4 linked regions of the Callithrix jacchus genome follow. The main gene of each other region encodes a partner of the protein of the gene in region 2 in a complex. Links are inferred from orthologs where the notes say so. Each region holds a gene or a part of one and is shown on either strand. Other genes may lie near its edges.

Region 1 (4,424 bases), on a different chromosome or scaffold from region 2:
GGCAGGATAAGGCCTCACAGTTCTGGGGGGCAATGTGGGGGCCGGTCCATCCGATGTCCCTCACGCAGCAGTGAGAACAGCTCCTCCACTGGGATGCCAGGGTATGGGGAGCCCCCGAGGGTGAAGATCTCCCACAGCAGGATCCCAAAAGACCACCTGGAGACAGGGCCAGGGCTCAGTGGGGCTCAGCGTCCTCCCTACAACCAAGGTTAGGATGGAGGAACCCCACAGGTACAACCCACCACAGCTGGTGAGGAATGGACTCCCCCGAGGCTGGTCCCACTCGGGTCCCAGGCCAAATCTGAAGGAGCCCTTGAGCACCTGACTCCTGGGGCCATGTGACTGGGCAGTGTTTTGCCCTTTTTCTGGGGTAGGACAGTAACGGCTGGCAGGACTCACACGTCACTCTGGTGTGTGTACACTCGGTCAAACAAGGCCTCGGGCGCCATCCACTTAACAGGCAGGCGGCCCTGGAGAGGAGCGGAGGCCTCAGTACAGAGTCCCACAGGTCCCCAAGCCTGCCAGCCCCAGGCCCAGCCCTATCTCTACCCCCATCCAGTTCTGCCCATCTCCCTCACATTGCTGGTTTTCTTATAGTAGTCAATGTGGTGGACACCCCGGGCCAGCCCAAAGTCAGCAATCTTCATCACATTGTCCTCGGTCACCAGCACATTGCGGGCAGCCAGGTCCCGGTGGATACACTGCGGGGGAGGAAGAGTTTGCGTGCAACAGGACTCCTGGATGGGAGCTGAGCACACACCACCCACCAGCAGGCCTGGGGGAAGGGGCCCTCCACCCACTTTACAGATAGAGGTTGAGGTTTAGAAAGGGGGAGCACCCACTCCTGCATCCCTTCTCCCCTCTCCGAGCCTATGGGCGAGGCAAGTGTGAGGAACAAGTGGGGAATTTGGGAAGGTGTGAAAGCTTGGGGACATTGAGGTGGGGTAATGAAAAAGAGCAGAGAGGGAGAAGCTGGGGACATTTAATGCCACAGGCCTAAGAGTGGAGATGGAGAGATTGACAGAGGCCCAGAGCCCCACCGCCTATACCTTCCGAGACTCCAGATACTGCATGCCTCGGGCCACCTGGTAGGCGCAGGAGACCAGGACTGGGAAGGACAGTGGCCCCTCACTGCTTCGAGGACCGTCAGGGCTGAGGTCGGGGCCTGGGGGGCGCCGGGCCCGCAGGAACTCCCGCAGGTTTCCCTTGGCGGCGCACTCTACGATCACATACAGGGGCCCTACGGAGGGAGTGCACGGAGAGGCTGCCAAAGCTGTGGCTCTGAGCCCTAATGGCCCATGCCACCAGCCCCGCCTCTGCCCCACCTTCCTGGGTGCAGACACCCAGCAGGTTGATGATGTTCTTGTGTCGGCCAATCAGCTTCATCACCTCCATCTCTGAGACCAGGTCTGCCAAGTCCTTGTCAGAAGCATTGCCTGCAAAGGCAGCAGACGGGGTGAAGAAGCTGCCCTCCAACTACATGAGGGAGACTGCAGAGGCAGGGCCAGGACAAGGAGCACTGGACCTAGGGGTCACCTAGGCCACAATCCTTGCTAGGCTGTGTGGCCTTGAAAAAGTCTCCTAGCATCTCTGAATTTCAGGGTCGTCTTGTGGGAAATGGAGCAGTGGTTCACACCCTACCTGTCACAGCAGTTTCAAGGATGCCATTTTATCAAGGATATAAGAGGCAGGCCTAGGGCCGGGTGCAGTGGCTCACACCTGTAATCTCAGCACTTTGGGAGGCTGAGGCAGGTGGATCACGAGGTCAGGAGTTCGAGACCAGCCTGACCAACATGGTGAAACCCTGACCCTACTAAAAATAGAAAAATTAGCTGGGCATGGTGGTGCATGCCTGTAGCTACTCAGGAGGCTGAGGCAGGAGAATTGCTTGAACCCAGGAGGCAGAGGTTGCAGTGAGCTGAGATCATACCGCTGCACTCCAGCCTGGGGGACAGAGAGAGATTCCATCTCAAAAAAAAAAAGGCAGGTCCTCCAGTGGGCAGGTCCAGGAAACAGGAGAGAGGGAAGAGCTTGGAGCAGGAAGCAAGCTGCCTCTGGAGGGGCTGGCAGTAGTCTCTGCATGGGGTCAAAGTTCCTGCATGTGGAAAGCAGGTTGGCGCCCTGGGGTCTGTTTGACCAGGGCCTGGCATCCAACTGGCCTGGAATTCAGGAAGCTATTGGCAGGCAGGGTGTAGCCAGGGGAGCTTGGGAAGAAGGCTGCTCTGGCTTCTCTGGCTAGACCCTTGGGGCTGAACTGTGGCCCTGGGCCAATGACATAACACCCCCCACCCACACACGCCAATCTCACCATGCACATTTCTCAATCCCTGCCTCCCAGGGAACACCAGGTGGCCCCAGCTGTGTAGAGAGGAGGGGAGGAGCAGAAGAGGAGTTGAGGGCATTCTTGCAGAGGGGGCTGGGGAACTGGAACAAGAGGCCCTGATGGGCAGCATGCAAGACTGCTCTGCAAGAGCACCCTGGGGCTGGACTGGGTGCAAGCAGAAGGGCTGTCCTCCTACAGCAGTGGACGCAGGGGATACACCTAGAGAGGATCTAAGGGAAGCTAAGCGTGTGTCTGGGGGGAACCATGGAGAAGGAGGTAGAGGGCCTGTGAGGCTGACAAGGAGATGTGAAGTCAAGGCTGACACAGACCAATGCTGACAGGGGATATCAAGCCTGTCACACCAAATTCTTATCATCATCGCCACCCCAGTGGTGATTTATTGGGCCTTGACTGTAAGCCAGGCATTTTCCCCAATTCTTGAGCTGGGAGATAGGGACCATTATTTACTCTACATGACACGAGGGGAAACTGAGGGTCAGAAGTCACTTGCCAGGGTCAGGAGTGGAGTTGAATTGCAGGCTTAAGGGTGGGATCCTGCAGCCTCTCCCAGCTCCAAGGTTCACCTGGTAGCACCGTGAGCCCCAGTGCCATAGCACCGCCTCCAGGCTGTCACATTCACCTTTTATTTTTCTTTTCTCTCTCTTTTTTTTTTTTTTTTTTTGAGACGGAGTCTCCCTCTGTTGCCCGGGCTGGAGTGCAATGGCATGGTCTCAGCTCACTGCAACCTCTGCCTCCTGGGTTTAAGTGATTCTCCTGCCTCAGCCTCCAGAGTAGCTGGGATTACAGGTGACCACCACCACGCCTGGCTAATTTTTTTGTTTTTTTGAGACAGTCTCGCTCTGTCACCAGGTTGGAGTGCAGTGGCGTGATCTTGGGTCTCTACAACTTCTGCCTTCCAGGCTCAAATGATTCTACTGCATCAACCTCCCGAGTAGCTGAAACTACAGGTGTGTGCCACCATGCCCAGCTAATTTTTGTATATTTAGTAGAGACAGGATTTCATCATGTTGGCCAGGATGGTCTTGATCTCTTGACCTCATGATCCATCTGCCTCAGCCTCCCAAAGTGCTGGGATTACAGGCGTGAGCCACTGTGCCTGGCCTAAAATTTTTCTGTTTCTAGTAGAGATGTGCTGGTCTCAAACTCCTGACTTCGTGATCCGCCCGCCTCAGCCTCCAAAAATGCTGGAATTACAAAGACATGAGCCATTGCGTCTGGCCTATTTTTATTTATTTATTTTTAGAAAGGGTCTCACTCTGTTGCCCAGGGTGGAATACTGTGACTTGATCATGGCTCATTGCAACCTCCAACTCCTGGATTCAAAGGATCCTCCTGCCTCAGCCTTCCTAGCAGCTGGGACTAAAGGTACATACCGCTACACTCAGCTAATTTTCTTACTCTTTTTGTAGAGATGGAGTCTCACCATATTGCCCAGGCTACCTCAAACTCCTGGATTCAAGCAATCCTCCTCCTACCTTGGCCTCCCAAAGGGCTGACATTACAGGTGTGAGTCACTGCACCCAGCCACACTCACCTTTGAGCATCTTGACGGCCACAGTGCTGGCTTGGTCAGGTTGGGCAGGGTCCATGCCAAAGGCCTCTGCACATATTACCTGCCCAAAGCAGCCCTCGCCCAGGGGCTTCCCAAGCACCAGCCTGGAGATGGAGAGAGTGCATGCCTCAGACCTCCGAATCACTCCTGATAAGGGTGGGTTGCAACCCAGCGCCCGTGTCCCCGCCCCCACACAGCTCAGCGCACCTGTCCCGGGGGAACTCCCATAGTGGGTCGAGAGGTAGGTCTAGACTCACGGGGCCGGCGAGCAAGGCAGGGCCGTTGGAGGAGAGACGTACACCTCGCACCAGGGATAAGCTTGACTTGCCGGAGGAGCCTGACTCCAGGGAGAACTGCAAAGTGGGAGACTTGGTTCTGCCTGCTAGAGTCAGGCTGCAACACACAAGGTGGGGGATGCGCCCAATACCTGTCGGGCCAGAGGGAAGCGGGACAACTTCTGCACAGTGGCAGGCTGGCGGGGGTGCCGGCCGTGGAGTGCCTGCCCTCGATACAGCCCAGCTAGCAGCA
Region 2 (4,424 bases):
TTCTCCTGGGCTCACATATCCTAGCATAAAAGATGACATATCCAGTCATCTTTTAAATGGAAGGCGAGGGCTTAGGTCTGAGACTGCCTGTAAAATGAACTGGATGGTCTAAAAAAGAAGAAGAATCCCAGACAGCAAAAAATGTATTAAGGATAGTGTTAATTTATTTCCTTGTAAATAAAAAATTTCAATTTGACATTTGCAAGAAAACAGCAACCCATTTTACATCCTTCCAAGTGTTTCCTTTCAAGCTGTGATTTGCAGAACCAACGAACTGGCTACCATAACCCAACATGCCAAAGCCAACTGCTTGTCTATGGACACTGAACTCTGTCTCTGTCTTGAGGGCCATTTTCACACTTGGGACTCTATCAGCAGCAATCCCCCAGCCCCACCCCGGTTACTTACCACCATGCCGCATTCACTCCATCGCACCATTTGCGCATGCATAGTTTTTCTCATTGGACTCCTTTGCTCCTTTGAAAGCAAAGGTTGCCCTTACACTTCTCAGTGTACCCTCTACTGCACTCCCCTTAACCAAGAGACCCCAGCAACTAACACAAGGCTTTGGACACACTAGATATCCAGTAAGTGCTTACTAGCGCATCCAATCAAATGCCGAAAAACACGTCCCTTCAAAATTTGGGACTTTTATTAAGGGCTTACAACAGGAGTAGATGCTCAATACATATTGGTGGATCATTGTGAAGAAATTTCATACCATTTCAATGACTACTGCTAAAAAAGACATTCTGACGAGCGAATCATCGGATCCAGGGTTTAGTTTTTGGGGGTATTTCTGCACATGTGTGGGGTCTACAGTTGTGCCTCTGCAGGACTCTCCCTAATGTTCCTGCCACAGTTTCAGCAGCACCACTGAAATTCGGAGGCTTTGGAGTTCTGTGTTAGATTCTGTTCATGAAAAAATTCAACTGCTTTAAAAAGGATCAAAAACCACAGTATGAAAAAAGAGTGTTTTATCTTTTTACTGTCTTAGTCGGATCTTAAACATTTGCATGTTTTAAATTGATTTCCCTTTGGATCTAACTTAACAAGATGAAGACTGGAAGATTTTTGGAGAGAAGGGTGCAGCATTCCAAACTGTGCCCCTACTGTGCTCATAAGGAATCGCTTTGGGCTCAAAAAGTGGACAGTGTGTCATGACAATCCGCCTAGGAAGGAAGCACTACTTACTAGAGACAGGGCTTGGTGACACTGCTGATTGGTTTTGTCAGCTGACTTACTTGAATGTAGTTGTCAACAATTCCCCAAGCAAAGTCACAGGGAAATGTCCCTTCTATGGGTCGATTCTCAGGTAAAGGAGGAAAGCCATTTTTCTCTATCAGCTTTTGGTAGAATAAGGCTGAAGACTTTGGCAACGACGTCTTGTTGTGGCTTAGAAAATCGACATAGAAGAGTCCACGCCTGATGCTGTAACCTCTGTGCCACTCAAAACCATCCATGAGTGACCATGCAGTGTACCCGATGACATCCACCCCATCCAGCTTGATGGCTGCAAAGGGAAGAGGGGACAAGAGCAACATGACCCTTTGCTGGGCACTTGCATCGTGATTCAAGAGCATCTGAGCGTTCTCCTTAAATAAATAAAAGGTAAGGCTTCTTGTTTGGTAAATCAGTGATTTTTCTTCTTGACAAAAGACTCTAATTAAACCCATATAACTCTACAAATAAATGCCCTCAAAATAGGTTTATCTCCAATACGTTTTTTGGATTCCTGAGCCCCTTGATGGAATAGTTCCTTATACATAATAGATGTTCTACAACCTAGGAAAGACATCTTGTACCAAGACGTCTATCCTAGACACCCAGTATTGTGCCTGACACCATAAATAAACAAAGGCTTTAAACGCATGCTCCATTTATGCTATTTTGCTATTTTCTTTAGGAAACATGGACATTCCTTCTTCTTTAAAGAGTGTTTTATTCAACCAAAATAACAAGAACTGGAAAACATGCGCAGAGAGCTAGATATCCTGGGATTTATTTTATGTTTGATTTAATCTAAAAATCTAGAGTAGTAACTCTGAAAGTTAAGTAATTACAAATATTATAACCCAATTTCTCATTTATAAGTGGGTGTTTAAAAATTAACTCACGTTCCTCAAGATTCCAAATGAGAAAGGTGGTACATGAATGCATTCCTACTATTGCCAAAATACATGTCTTCATTAGGATTTAAAAATATAAATTCACATGGTTTATATTAGATAATCTTCATAAACGATTAAGATTTTGGCAGGAAATGAGAACTTTACCCACAATCATACCTTTCAAGGTTTCCATGATGAACTTTTTGAGGTAATACATACATTTGGCATCATCTCTCTTGGTGGTCCCTGAGACAAACCAGCCATTTTCCACAATAAATATTTGAGGATGATTATATTCAAGATCAATCCAGGAAAGCAGTTGCCTCAGGCTGGGAGATTCCAATTGGTGGAATTTCATGTGAGGGTCCACAAGTTGATAGCTCAAGGTCGGTCCAAAGGAAAGAGCAAAAAAGTCAGCAGTTCCATTGACGAATTTTTTCTCAGATTCAGTAAAATTAGGCAGAAGAGATGAAAGGTTATTCTTCATGCTCTCGGGATAGTCACCATCGATAAATATGGGTTTGGCAAACCAGCCTAGTACAAAATCCAGAGATTTTTGACATTCTTTGATGTTGTGGTTGGTCATACTTTGAGGAATGATCCAGTGAGAGCTTAGGGCAATGGACACCTGGCCTCCCTGAGTGGGACGGAAAGAAGTATTGTAGAGATGCCAGATTTTGGCATGAGCCTATGAAGGGAAAAATGATGGCAAATTTATCTCTAGTTGTGAGGAGAAATGCAACATAATACTTGAATCCCCAATTCAATTTATATACATTTCTCATCAAGCCTAACTTGATGACTAACAATGTAAGAATCAGCTAGAATCAATAAATTACTTCAAAGGTAGGTCACCCCACAGTAAGCTGCTACCAGGACTAGAGTTACTTCCATTGGTTTTTAGCCATCAGTGGAAAAAACTTAAAATCCCTGGGTTGAGGGTGTAGTTACCCACAGTTTGAAAGACTAACGAAATAAAAGAATTTGTTATAATATCTTACTATTTAACTGACTTTGGATTATGTAATTTTTAATTTACAGGTTTTGTGGAAATGCCACATCAGTGATCACATCAAGAATTTCTAAATAGGATTATATTTTTTATCCTGAGCTTGGGAGTTTTCAAAATGACTCAGGCTATTGGAGTCAATTTAATATTTCATAGTCATCTCTCAGAGCTACAGTTCTAACAAGCAATCTTCATTCTTCCCTAAGAAGAATCAGCACAACAAATTAAATAACCCACTCCAGTATCTAACCTTGGCCTACCCTCCAGAACCCTGGGACGGTGCTGGTTTCCCACAGGCCTAGGGTACAAGGTACAAGCCAAGAGCACAAAACAGCAGAATACAGCTGTGAGGAGATCAGATGTCCATAGTTAGCATGCAGCCAAGAGTTTCGTACAGCAATGAAAAGGGCTTTGCGTCCATAAAACCAACTTTATACTCCTGTAAATTCTTACTAACATCTGATATCTTATTTTCATTTGTTTTCTTTTTACCTACAAAGAAGAGTGAAAATTATAGGGTTTTTTTCTCCCCTACTCGAAGTGAGTTTCTCTTTCCCTTTGAATTCCTTGATTCACTCTCCCTATTTTCCTACAAATACAAGTGTTATTTATCAGCCTTTATTCCCTAACATATCCTCTTTGAAAACTCCATTCTGATTTTCTGTTTGACTCCATATATTCTCCAAAATGATCGTGCCAATTTTATTCCACTCCCTGGTCCTGCAGAAACTCCTTTGTTCATTAAGCCAAATAGCCTCTTCAACATATCCTAAATATTCCTCTTGTGGTTTATTTCAGTACAGGCATCCAAGAATGCCTCATCAACATTCTTATGTGTTCAGCCAAACATTTCAATGGAATAAGATAGTTTATGGCTAACTTTTCTTTTTAGTTTTTTAGTGAACATCTACTGTTTCATTTCACTGAATGTATTTTTTCACGACCTGAAGCAACTATCTATATTCCAAGAAGGAAATGGAGAATCAAATGTTGATCCAAAGAATAGCGGCACTTGCTCACGTGATCTAAGAAACCAGAGACTTAATCATGCCACACTTCTTCTAGTTTTGTGATCATACCTCCCCAGCCCTCACTTCTTTATTGAAAGGAAACCTCAAGATGTTAACAGTTAAACAGAGGCTGGGCACGATGGCTCATGCCTGCAATCCCAGCACTTTGGGAGGCTGAAATCCCAGCACATTGGGAGGATCCCTTGAGACCAGGAGTTCTCAACTAGCCTGCACAAACATACTGAGACCCCATTTCTACCGAAAAATCAAAAACTTAACCAGGCATGGTGGTAT
Region 3 (4,424 bases), on a different chromosome or scaffold from region 2:
CGTCACAAGAACAGCACGAGAAAGATCTACCCCATGAGTCAGTGACCTCCCACCAAAAACAGGTCCCTCCCACAACACGTGGGAATTCAGGATGAGATTTGGGTGGGGACACAGCAACCATATCAGCCATACCATACTATCCCCTTGTCCTCCTGTGTGCCCACCCTTCCCCATGGAAGGAAACTGTTAGGTACAGGTGTGTGCAAGAATGACCATTCCCTCAGAAGCCTATGCTCATTCTGGAAGGTGCTTTGGGAGTTTGGAGTCCATAAGCTAAGGCAAAGTATTTGCAGAGTTGTGAGAATAGAGTTGTTACTGCAGTGATCAGTAATAAAGTATCAAGCTGGAAGAGGTGCATTTGATCTGCTTATTTTAAAGGTCAGTGAAATCCAGAAAGGCCAGCCAGTGGCAGAAATAGGTCAGTCCTAGAAGTTGGGCCTCCTGTGGTCTTCGGACCACTCTGTATTGCTGAAAGAACATGAGATACACAGAAACGTGCCTCTGCCATTGTTGGGAAGCCCTGACTAGGAATGGAAAGGAGTCGCCCTTGTCCCCGCTCCTTGCTCTAGGGTGACCCCACTCTTCCTTGCAGGTGTCCGCTGACTCCAGTGCGTCCATGAACTCTGGGGTTCTTCTGGTTCGGCCATCACGGCTCTCCTCCAGTGGGACTCCCATGCTAGCAGGGGTCTCTGAGTATGAGCTTCCCGAAGACCCTCGCTGGGAGCTGCCTCGGGACAGGTAACAATGCTTTAACTCCTAACTTTTTGAAGGCATCCTTTGCTTGCTATTCTAGTGGTAGAAGGTGTGTATACTAACACCTTCAGGGCAGTGAAGGTGTGTGAAATGCCTGCAGAAACATTCATTTCCATTTTCTGCTCGAAGTTGGGTGAAATACAGAAGTGGAGATGGGGTGCCTCTCAAAGTTTGAACTTCACCAGCCCCAACTTAATGCCGCTGTCTGTTTTCCCTGAAAGACTGGTCTTAGGAAAACCCCTGGGAGAGGGCTGCTTTGGGCAGGTGGTATTGGCAGAGGCCATCGGACTGGACAAGGACAAACCCAGCCGTGTGACCAAGGTGGCTGTGAAGATGTTGAAGTGTAAGTGATGCTTCTGTCCTTGCAGAGACAATCTTGTCCCATTCCAAGCAAACAGCAAGCCTCAGGCCCAGCAGAGCAGCTTCTCTGGTGCTTTTGCTGCCCACACCTGCTCCCCTGCCTGCTTGGGGTTACCTGGGAGTGGAGGGGGTGTTCTGCACCCTGAGATTGTTCTGTGACCTCACTCTGTTTCTTGGCATCAACCTGGGCTATGGTTAGGTTTTTATCCTGGATCTATCAGTTGCTGACATTTCTCCCCACATCCCTCCCCGCTCACTACCACCTATTGCAACAACTCCCATGAGAGGGAAGGTGGAAGTGGGGAGGAGAGAATCAAGTCCAAGAGAAAAGCGGCCCCTCGGAACATACCCCTCTACCTTAGCCTTTCTCCTGCCCTCCTCCCTTCCAAAAGTAAATGAGTCTCAACATGTTCTTTAAAGCGGATGCAACAGAGAAAGACTTGTCAGACCTGATCTCAGAAATGGAGATGATGAAGATGATCGGGAAGCATAAGAACATCATCAACCTACTGGGGGCCTGCACGCAGGATGGTGGGTCCCGGCCAGGCTGGCCTTCCCTCCCCAGCAGGCAGAAGGTCTGAGCTGTTAGGGAAGGGGGTTGAGAGGCTGCTTTGGCAGAGGTTAAAATGTGTTTCTTGGGGTCTGGGCTCAGCCCATATGTGTTCATCGAAGAATACAGATACCTAGATTCACACACATGGTGTGTTAACAGAGACAGCTGAGTAATTATGGTCTAAATTAGGGTGCTCAGGCTGGGTACAGTGGCCATGCCTGTAATCACAGCACTTTGGGAAGCTGAGGTGGGAGGATCACTTGAGATCAGGAGTTTGAGACCAGCATGGCTAACAAGATCCCATCTCTACTAAAAATACAAGTTAGCCAGGCGGCATGGTGCATGACAGTAATCCCAGCTACTTGGGAGGCTGAGGCAGGAGAATCACTTGAATCTGTAAGGCGGAGGTTGCAGTGAGCCGAAAATTATACCACTGCACTCCAGCCTGGGTGACAGAGCGAGACTCCATCTCAAAAATAAATAAACAGGCTCTTATCCCAACATTGCTTGGGAAATTTCTGGACTATGCCAGGAATAACTATTTATCTGGTTTTCTTAGGGTGGTAGAATGGATTTCCCAGGTCCCCTAAAAGGAGGCAGGAGAGGGGAGGTTGGCTGGGGTGTGCTGCTGGGGGTGGGGTTTCCATGAGGTGATGCCAAACATGCTCACCTGCTGCCGGCTGCATGGCCTCTTCCTCCTATGTCCGCAGGTCCCTTGTATGTCATCGTGGAGTATGCCTCCAAAGGCAACCTGCGGGAGTACCTGCAGGCCCGGAGGCCCCCGGGGCTGGAATACTGCTACAACCCCAGCCACAACCCAGAGGAGCAGCTCTCCTCCAAGGACCTGGTGTCCTGCGCCTATCAGGTGGCCCGAGGCATGGAGTATCTGGCCTCCAAGAAGGTGTGGACCCTGAAAGCTCCCCTGGGTATTGCTGGGGTGGGAACAGAGCCCTCCCAGTCCTCCAGCCTGTGACTTGTCATCTTGTGGTGGCGTTGTGGATGCATTGAGCACGGGCCCTGTGCGTTGTCTTAGGCTCTCTGGCAACCAGAGTCAGGAGAACCAGTGTAGCCAAGTGGCCTTGGGGTCAGACTGCTGTAGGGTCAGATCTGTACACTGCCATTTTCTGTGTAGCCTCTTATAATTCTTCAAGTACAAAATAAGAATAACATCAGCTGGGTGCAGTGCCAAGGCAGGAGGATTGCTTGAGCTCAGGAGTTTGAGACAAGGTTGGACAACAACAGTGAGACCCTGTCTTTAAAAAAAAAATTTCAAAGTTAGCTGGGTGTGGTACTGTGTGCCAGTAGTCCCAGCTACTCCGGAGGCTGAGGTGGGAGGCTGACTTGATCCCAGGAGTTTGAGGCTGCATGAGCCATGATCATACCACTGCAGCAGAGCACGACTATGTCTCGGAGAAAAAAAAGTATAATAATACCTATGTTGTAGAATTGTTATGAGGATAAAATGAAACGATGAGCATTGAGTGCAGTGTTTGGTGTGTAAGCGCTAGCTTGATTTGAGCCCAGCTCAGTGTGGACTTGCTTTGCTGGGAGGCAAGACCTAGGAACCTGCGCAGTGTCAGACAAAGCAGAGGCATAAAGGGCCAGCCTTCGGGGAGGGAAGGGAGGAGCACTTGCTGTGATGATTGAGAAGCCTGGAGCTGGCAGAGAACATTCTAGAAGGGAAAGCAAAGGTTCGGGGCAGAATAGTGTAGGCAGAAGTCTGTGAGGCAAGTCGGCCAGTTGCACAGGTGGTGGCCCCCAGAGCCTTCCAGCTCCCTCACCTCCCTCCCCTCCCCCTGCTCTCCCTTCCTCCTTCCTCAGTGCATACACCGAGACCTGGCCGCCAGGAACGTCCTGGTGACAGAGGACAACGTGATGAAGATTGCAGACTTCGGCCTCGCACGGGACATTCACCACATCGACTACTATAAAAAGACAACCAACGTGAGTGCCAACAGGGCCGCCCCATGCTGGTGGTTTCATCTGAGAAGCGAAGGGTGGGTGGGATGGCTTGAAAACCCACCCCCAGTCCCTTCCCACCTGTGTCACGGCCCAGCCTGGGGCCACCCCAACCTCCCCGGTGCTGCTTGCAGGGCCGACTGCCTGTGAAGTGGATGGCACCCGAGGCATTGTTTGACCGGATCTACACCCACCAGAGTGATGTGTGAGTTTGCAATAAGCAGTTGCCAGGGAGGTGTGGGATAAAGAAAGGATAAAGAACTTCCACCACTGCAGAGTCCTGCATTCCCCCTGGACAGAGGAGTCCTTTCGCCCCAAGAGAAAAGCAAAACATTGTGGCCATTGCCTCTGCTCCAGATGTTGAAAGGATGATCTGTTCCCCACGCTGTCTCCTGGCACTGCCCTGGGTGGAGGATTTGTGCTGGAGGAGGGGAGGCAGAGAAGCTCTAACACCCATAGCTCTGCATCTGTCTGCAGGTGGTCTTTTGGGGTGCTCCTGTGGGAGATCTTCACTCTGGGCGGCTCCCCATACCCCGGTGTGCCTGTGGAGGAGCTTTTCAAGCTGCTGAAGGAGGGTCACCGCATGGACAAGCCCAGTAACTGCACCAACGAGCTGTAAGTCTGAGGAGATGTCGGAGGCCCCAAGCCAGGCCCTGGGGCAAGAATGGGCTTGAGGGGCAGGGGGCTATACTAAAGGGTGTCCATCTCCAGGAGGCAGCCTTTCCTCCCTGACCTTACAGTTCTGCCCCAGGTACATGATGATGCGGGACTGCTGGCATGCAGTGCCCTCGCAGAGACC
Region 4 (4,424 bases), on a different chromosome or scaffold from region 2:
CCTCCAGCTCCTGGAACCCCCAGGGCCCTGTGCCTGTCTCCCTATCAGCAACACGGGTATCCCTTCACACCCCAGCCCTGCCACCAGGGAGCCAGGGCTGGGCGTCCAGAGCCATCTCAGTGGCCCAGCCCCTCCTGCATCCTGAGGAGACCTGACCTTCGGGGTGACCCCAGGGACCTCGGTCCCTCAGCTGCTTGTGGAGGGCAGGGCTTAGTGGTGGCAGCAGGCCCCACCCTGGCCAGCCTGAACCCGACCCTGCTCCCACCTGTGTCCGCACCTGTGTCCTCAGCCTCATCCTCTCCGTCTTCATCATCTCCTGAAGATGGAACGTCTACAAGGCAGAGACAGCTGCTTCCAGTGCCCGACCTGCCCCAGGAGGCCCCCAGGTGCCCCTCCCAGGTGAGACAGGGTCCCCCATTCGGGCAGCACTTCCTGGGGGTGCCTTCCTCTCCACCAATGACCCTTGGGGCAGGGGTGCTGCAGCCCCGTGGCCGAGACACCCAGCGGCTCTTGGCCCTCGTGGGGACTCAGGGAGCCCAGCACCCACTCCCTTCTGCAGCTGGCTGGCCCAAAGCTCACCTGCCACCCGCACGCTGAAGCGGCACAGCACGTTCTGTGTGAGGCGCTGCTGGCAGCTGTAGGCCCCAGAGTCCTCCTGTGAGGCGTTCAGCACCAGCAGGCGCTGGGGCCCCACCAGGATGCGGTCCGAGGGCACCAGCCCTGCGCCATCCTTGACCCAGACCGTGGGCCCCACAGGACCACCTCTGGGCGGGGGACAGCTCAGCTCCACCGCGTCCCCGCTGCCGAAGACCAACTGCTCCTGCTGGCCGGGCTCCAGGCCTGGGACCTCTGCAGGCGAGACCCGTGACCATGAGGCAGGTACCCCCAAACCCGGCACATTTATAGACACAGTAGTGGAGGCCTCAGTGGCCCTGACCCAGATCTGGGGTCCCACCAGACCAGGGGCTGGAGCTGAGCCCCAAAAGGGCCAGAGGTCTCCATCTTCAGCTTTGCCAGCCGGTCTCTGTGCCAAGGACTTGGGTCTGCCTTGGTGTGGTAGCCGCTGTGCCCACACAAGCTGCAGCCAACCCAGGGCCGCGCCTCCACAAAGCTTCACTTTTGGACACGGGGAATTCGAATCTCAAAGCACCACAGAGTGCAACTCTTCATTCTTTTGATTTGTTCAACTGCTTTGAAACATAAAATCCATGCTTGGCTCACAGGTGGCCCCACGGCCACAGGTCCTGGGGACAAAGGGGACAGGCTGCCCTTTGCTGGCTCCCCGCTGAGATGAAGCTCAGAAGGGGTGCCAGGGTGGCCAGCCAGCCCCCTGGCAGTGCAGATGCACCCAAGGAGGGGTCCCTCTCAGCAGCCCCCATACCCTGTATGTGCCTGAGGTGGAGTTCAGATGTCAACAAGGGAAGAGAACGGACGAGAAAGGAGGTGCAGGGTCAGACGGCTGAGTGGACGAAGCCGGGGGCAGCGGGCAGGTTCACCAGGCAGAGCCAGGCTGGAGCAGTGCGAGGTGGCGGGGCGGGGGCAGGGGCTCCCTGGCATGGATAGGGTTCTGCATCCTACAGCTCCTGGGTAAGCTCCACACTGACCACCACAGAAAACACACAGAGAAAAGCAAAGTACAACACGACGCCGGGGCCAGCCCAGTGGGTCCATGGGCTGGGGGCTGGGAGTGGGACGCCCTCACAGGAGAGGACCAGGCTGGGGACAGGAAGCTGTGAGAGACACAGGCGGTGCCACAGGGCAGCAGCCCCGGCCCCTCCCCGGGGGCTGAGAAGCTGGGGTGGGGGCCCACACACAGGGGCAGATGTGCAGGTGGCCCTGGCCCCCTCCCCCTGCCCAGTAGCTACCCAGTTCCCGAGGGCCACCAAAGCCTGTGACCCAAGGACACACCACAGGTGGGGCTGGGGGACCATCACCCCTAGGTCCCCTGCCAGGGCCAGATAACGCATGCAGGCGGGTGGTCTGGGCTTGGGGCCGGGGCGGGGGCGGCTGGTCCCCCAGGCAGCGTCCTCCTTCAGACCCAGCTGGGCCGCTTGCGCCATCACTTGTCATTCTGCAGATGCGTGGCCTAGATTTGGGGGCCCAGCTGCCCACGCTGGCCACACCAGTCCCTGGCTGCCTGGCCAGGCCCAATTCTGCCCAATCCACCGAAGCCAGCCGCACGCCCCCAGTACCCAGAGTGACCCTATCAACCGGAAGGGCCACACTCATCCCCGGAAGCATCCAAGGGAGCCCTCGCGCCACAGGGACCCACAGCTCCTGGACTGCCCCTGTGAGGACCCCACAGTCAGAGGGGCACCTGGCCTGACCTCCAGCCCTCTGGCCCTGGCCAGTGTCTTGTGGGGACCACCCAGAGCTGGGAGCTGTCTGAAGCTCCCCAGAAGGCCGGGAACAGGCTGGTCATGGCAGCCGCAGCTGCAGGCCCTGGCCCAAAGGCAACAGCCTGCTGGTTCCGGTTTGGTCTGGGTGGTGACAACAGGTCAAGCCATCCGCACAAGTATTCGCTTCAGCCTGGTCCAGCGGGGGACGGGGGACACAGCAGCACCAGGCCAGCCATGCTGGTGGCCATCTGCCTGTGTCGGGGGAGGGGGGAGGGTGGAGCCCTGAATGCCCCCCGCCTGCCTGCTTGGTGCCAGCAGAGGCCAGGGCACCCCAGCAGGGGCTGACTGGGGAACACCAGGTGAAAGACTGTGAGACAGGAACAGGGGTGGGGGACACTAAGAGCTCAGGGCCTCACTCTCCCTGGGGAGTCAGCAGTTGAGTGGAGCCCCCATGCCCCATCCAGCTGCCAGGCAAGGGGCAACTATATCCCCCCAGTGGCCCCAAGAAGGGTTATTTCTTTCTTGACCAACAAAAGGGGGACCCCACTGGCACCACAAAAGCACTGGTGCCCACACACGCCCAAGAAAAAACTCCTGCATACCCAAGGCGGGGCAGGGGGCCACAACCCGCATCACCCACCCATCTACACATCACAAACCCACACAGTGCCCACCTCAACCTGGGCCCCACGTGCTGGGAACAGCCCTCTGCTGTGTCCCAAAAGGGCCGTGCTGGACCTGGGGGGGCATGGTCCTGTGCCTCAGTTTCCCCACTGTGGCACAATATAAAATCCCACCTCACAGACCACAGGGGCCGCCACACCCTGCTAAGTGGCTGGAGGAGCGAGGGGTGACAGGCACTCCCTGCCCAGGGCCCCTTGACCCGGAACTGATGTCCATCAGGCCACGGTGTTGGCGACAGTCACACTCCGGCCTGGGGAACCTTTCTCCAGGTTCTGGGGCACTGCAGAGGAGGCCCAGTGCATGTGGGGAGCCCGGGTGAGAGGGTTGGGGAGCACTGCTCCATCATAAGCCCCTTGGATTGGCCCCAGAGAGCAAGGATGAAATTCAGACTCCAGTCCAGAGCTGGCTACCCCGAGGGGTTTACTTGGGTTTTGGGGTAAGCTGAGGGCCTGGGGTCAGGGAACCCCACGTTCTGGTTTTGGATGCACATGAAGCGCTCTGCAGCTCTCTGGGGTACAGAAGTATTGCCAGGTAAGGGCTATAACATAGCCTAAGAGAATGAGGTGCCTGGAAAAACCTGGAAGCCAAAAGCAAGAGTCCAGCCTCCCTTCCTGTCTACCTGTAGACATTCCTGTCAGCTTCACAATAAAGACGGGAAAACAGGGATCCGAAGCTGGGCACGCTAATGACAGCTCGCCAGGATTCTCAGGCCTAATCCTTCAAGCAGCCAGCCACTACGGCTTCTCTTGGACAGGTGGGGAAACCGAAGTTTCAAGACGGTACCCGAGCCTGGGCTGGCAGCCTGGAGGTCCAGGCTAACCCCCACACTCCACCAAAGCTGGCTCCACTCCCCACTCATTCACTCCTAAATCACTCAGCTCAGGGCTGCTGCCTTTCTAGACAGGGCGACTTTGGACCCCCATCCTCCAGGAGACACCAAGCCCCTGGGCTCCCACCCAAGCTCAACTGTAACAAGGGGTGCCCCAGCCCCAGTTCTAGCCCCAAGTGAGACCTGAGGGCTGGGGGTGGGGGGTGGGTAAACAGGGGTTGCTACGCTCAAACAAGGACCCGGAGGCCAGGCTCGGCCCGAGTTAATGAACCACCCAGAGGCCCACGCGGCTCAAAGTCCAGCCCTGGAAAGGAGGGGTAGGGGAGGTGGGGTAGGGGAGGTGGCCACCAGCACCTTAGGGAAAGGCCCTGCACCCCCAGGTCCCAACCAGGAACACGGTCCCCTGGCGAGATGGAGGCTGCCCTGGCCGGGCATGTGGTGGCTCAGGCAGTCCAGCGGCCAAAACCTTCCCCACTGCCCTTGACTCCTGCCAGCTCAGGCTCCACAATTTATGTTCCTGGGCAAGCACCAGCCTAGACCTCCGTACATTTCACGAGGTCTTTGTATTTTTA

What was found. Proteins that work in one complex are often made in the same cells at the same time.
Region 1: the proteins of KL (region 2) and FGFR4 are in contact, whole or in part, in a cryo-EM structure (PDB 7YSW), measured with the Homo sapiens proteins. The link is inferred for Callithrix jacchus from reciprocal best matches to the Homo sapiens genes KL and FGFR4. Residues at the interface, in NP_004786.2 of Homo sapiens: Ser539, Gln540, Phe541, Thr542, Asp543, Asn545, Val546, Tyr547, Leu548, Trp549, Asp550, Val551, His553, Ser554, Lys555, Arg556, Leu557, Ile558, Val563, Thr565, Arg568, Tyr571, Val573, Ala576, Gln579, Pro580, Glu625, Arg628; in NP_001341913.1 of Homo sapiens: Asp266, Gln282, Leu284, His286, Ile287, Ile289, Gly295, Ala296, Asp297, Gly298, Phe299, Pro300, Tyr301, Val302, Gln303, Val304, Leu305, Lys306, Asn311, Ser312, Glu314, Leu318, Tyr319, Leu320, Arg321, Asn322, Asp327, Thr332, Leu334, Leu341.
Region 3: the proteins of KL (region 2) and FGFR1 are in contact, whole or in part, in a cryo-EM structure (PDB 7YSH), measured with the Homo sapiens proteins. The link is inferred for Callithrix jacchus from reciprocal best matches to the Homo sapiens genes KL and FGFR1. Residues at the interface, in NP_004786.2 of Homo sapiens: Ser539, Gln540, Phe541, Asp543, Leu544, Asn545, Val546, Tyr547, Leu548, Trp549, Asp550, Val551, Lys555, Arg556, Leu557, Val560, Val563, Thr565, Lys566, Arg568, Tyr571, Val573, Ala576, Glu625, Arg628; in NP_075598.2 of Homo sapiens: Asn272, Gln288, Leu290, His292, Ile293, Asn296, Gly301, Pro302, Leu305, Pro306, Tyr307, Val308, Gln309, Ile310, Leu311, Lys312, Glu322, Leu326, His327, Leu328, Arg329, Asn330, Glu334, Asp335, Thr340, Leu342, Leu349, His351.
Region 4: the proteins of KL (region 2) and FGFR3 are in contact, whole or in part, in a cryo-EM structure (PDB 7YSU), measured with the Homo sapiens proteins. The link is inferred for Callithrix jacchus from reciprocal best matches to the Homo sapiens genes KL and FGFR3. Residues at the interface, in NP_004786.2 of Homo sapiens: Ser539, Gln540, Phe541, Thr542, Asp543, Asn545, Val546, Tyr547, Leu548, Trp549, Asp550, Val551, Ser554, Lys555, Arg556, Leu557, Val563, Lys566, Arg568, Tyr571, Val573, Ala576, Pro580; in NP_000133.1 of Homo sapiens: Gln286, Leu288, His290, Val291, Val293, Gly299, Thr303, Pro304, Tyr305, Val306, Thr307, Val308, Leu309, Lys310, Glu320, Leu324, Ser325, Leu326, His327, Asn328, Val329, Glu332, Asp333, Thr338, Leu340, Phe347, His349.

The regions. Positions count from the first base shown.
Region 1 is NC_133503.1:69,047,587-69,052,010, forward strand, and holds part of FGFR4 (fibroblast growth factor receptor 4), read right to left. Parts: coding exon 4,324-4,424; intron 4,250-4,323; coding exon 4,104-4,249; intron 4,001-4,103; coding exon 3,879-4,000; intron 1,437-3,878; coding exon 1,326-1,436; intron 1,241-1,325; coding exon 1,050-1,240; intron 702-1,049; coding exon 579-701; intron 471-578; coding exon 400-470; intron 157-399; coding exon 19-156; intron 1-18. UniProt on the Homo sapiens protein: Tyrosine-protein kinase that acts as a cell-surface receptor for fibroblast growth factors and plays a role in the regulation of cell proliferation, differentiation and migration, and in regulation of lipid metabolism, bile acid biosynthesis, glucose uptake, vitamin D metabolism and phosphate homeostasis.
Region 2 is NC_133506.1:152,346,557-152,350,980, reverse strand, and holds part of KL (klotho), read right to left. Parts: intron 2,800-4,424; coding exon 2,289-2,799; intron 1,514-2,288; coding exon 1,245-1,513; intron 1-1,244. UniProt on the Homo sapiens protein: May have weak glycosidase activity towards glucuronylated steroids. However, it lacks essential active site Glu residues at positions 239 and 872, suggesting it may be inactive as a glycosidase in vivo.
Region 3 is NC_133514.1:39,242,813-39,247,236, reverse strand, and holds part of FGFR1 (fibroblast growth factor receptor 1), read left to right. Parts: intron 1-592; coding exon of another isoform or gene 593-593; coding exon 594-738; intron 739-974; coding exon 975-1,096; intron 1,097-1,533; coding exon 1,534-1,644; intron 1,645-2,376; coding exon 2,377-2,567; intron 2,568-3,487; coding exon 3,488-3,610; intron 3,611-3,759; coding exon 3,760-3,830; intron 3,831-4,102; coding exon 4,103-4,240; intron 4,241-4,376; coding exon 4,377-4,424. UniProt on the Homo sapiens protein: Tyrosine-protein kinase that acts as a cell-surface receptor for fibroblast growth factors and plays an essential role in the regulation of embryonic development, cell proliferation, differentiation and migration.
Region 4 is NC_133504.1:191,353,401-191,357,824, forward strand, and holds part of FGFR3 (fibroblast growth factor receptor 3), read right to left. Parts: intron 850-4,424; coding exon 580-849; intron 332-579; coding exon 266-331; intron 1-265.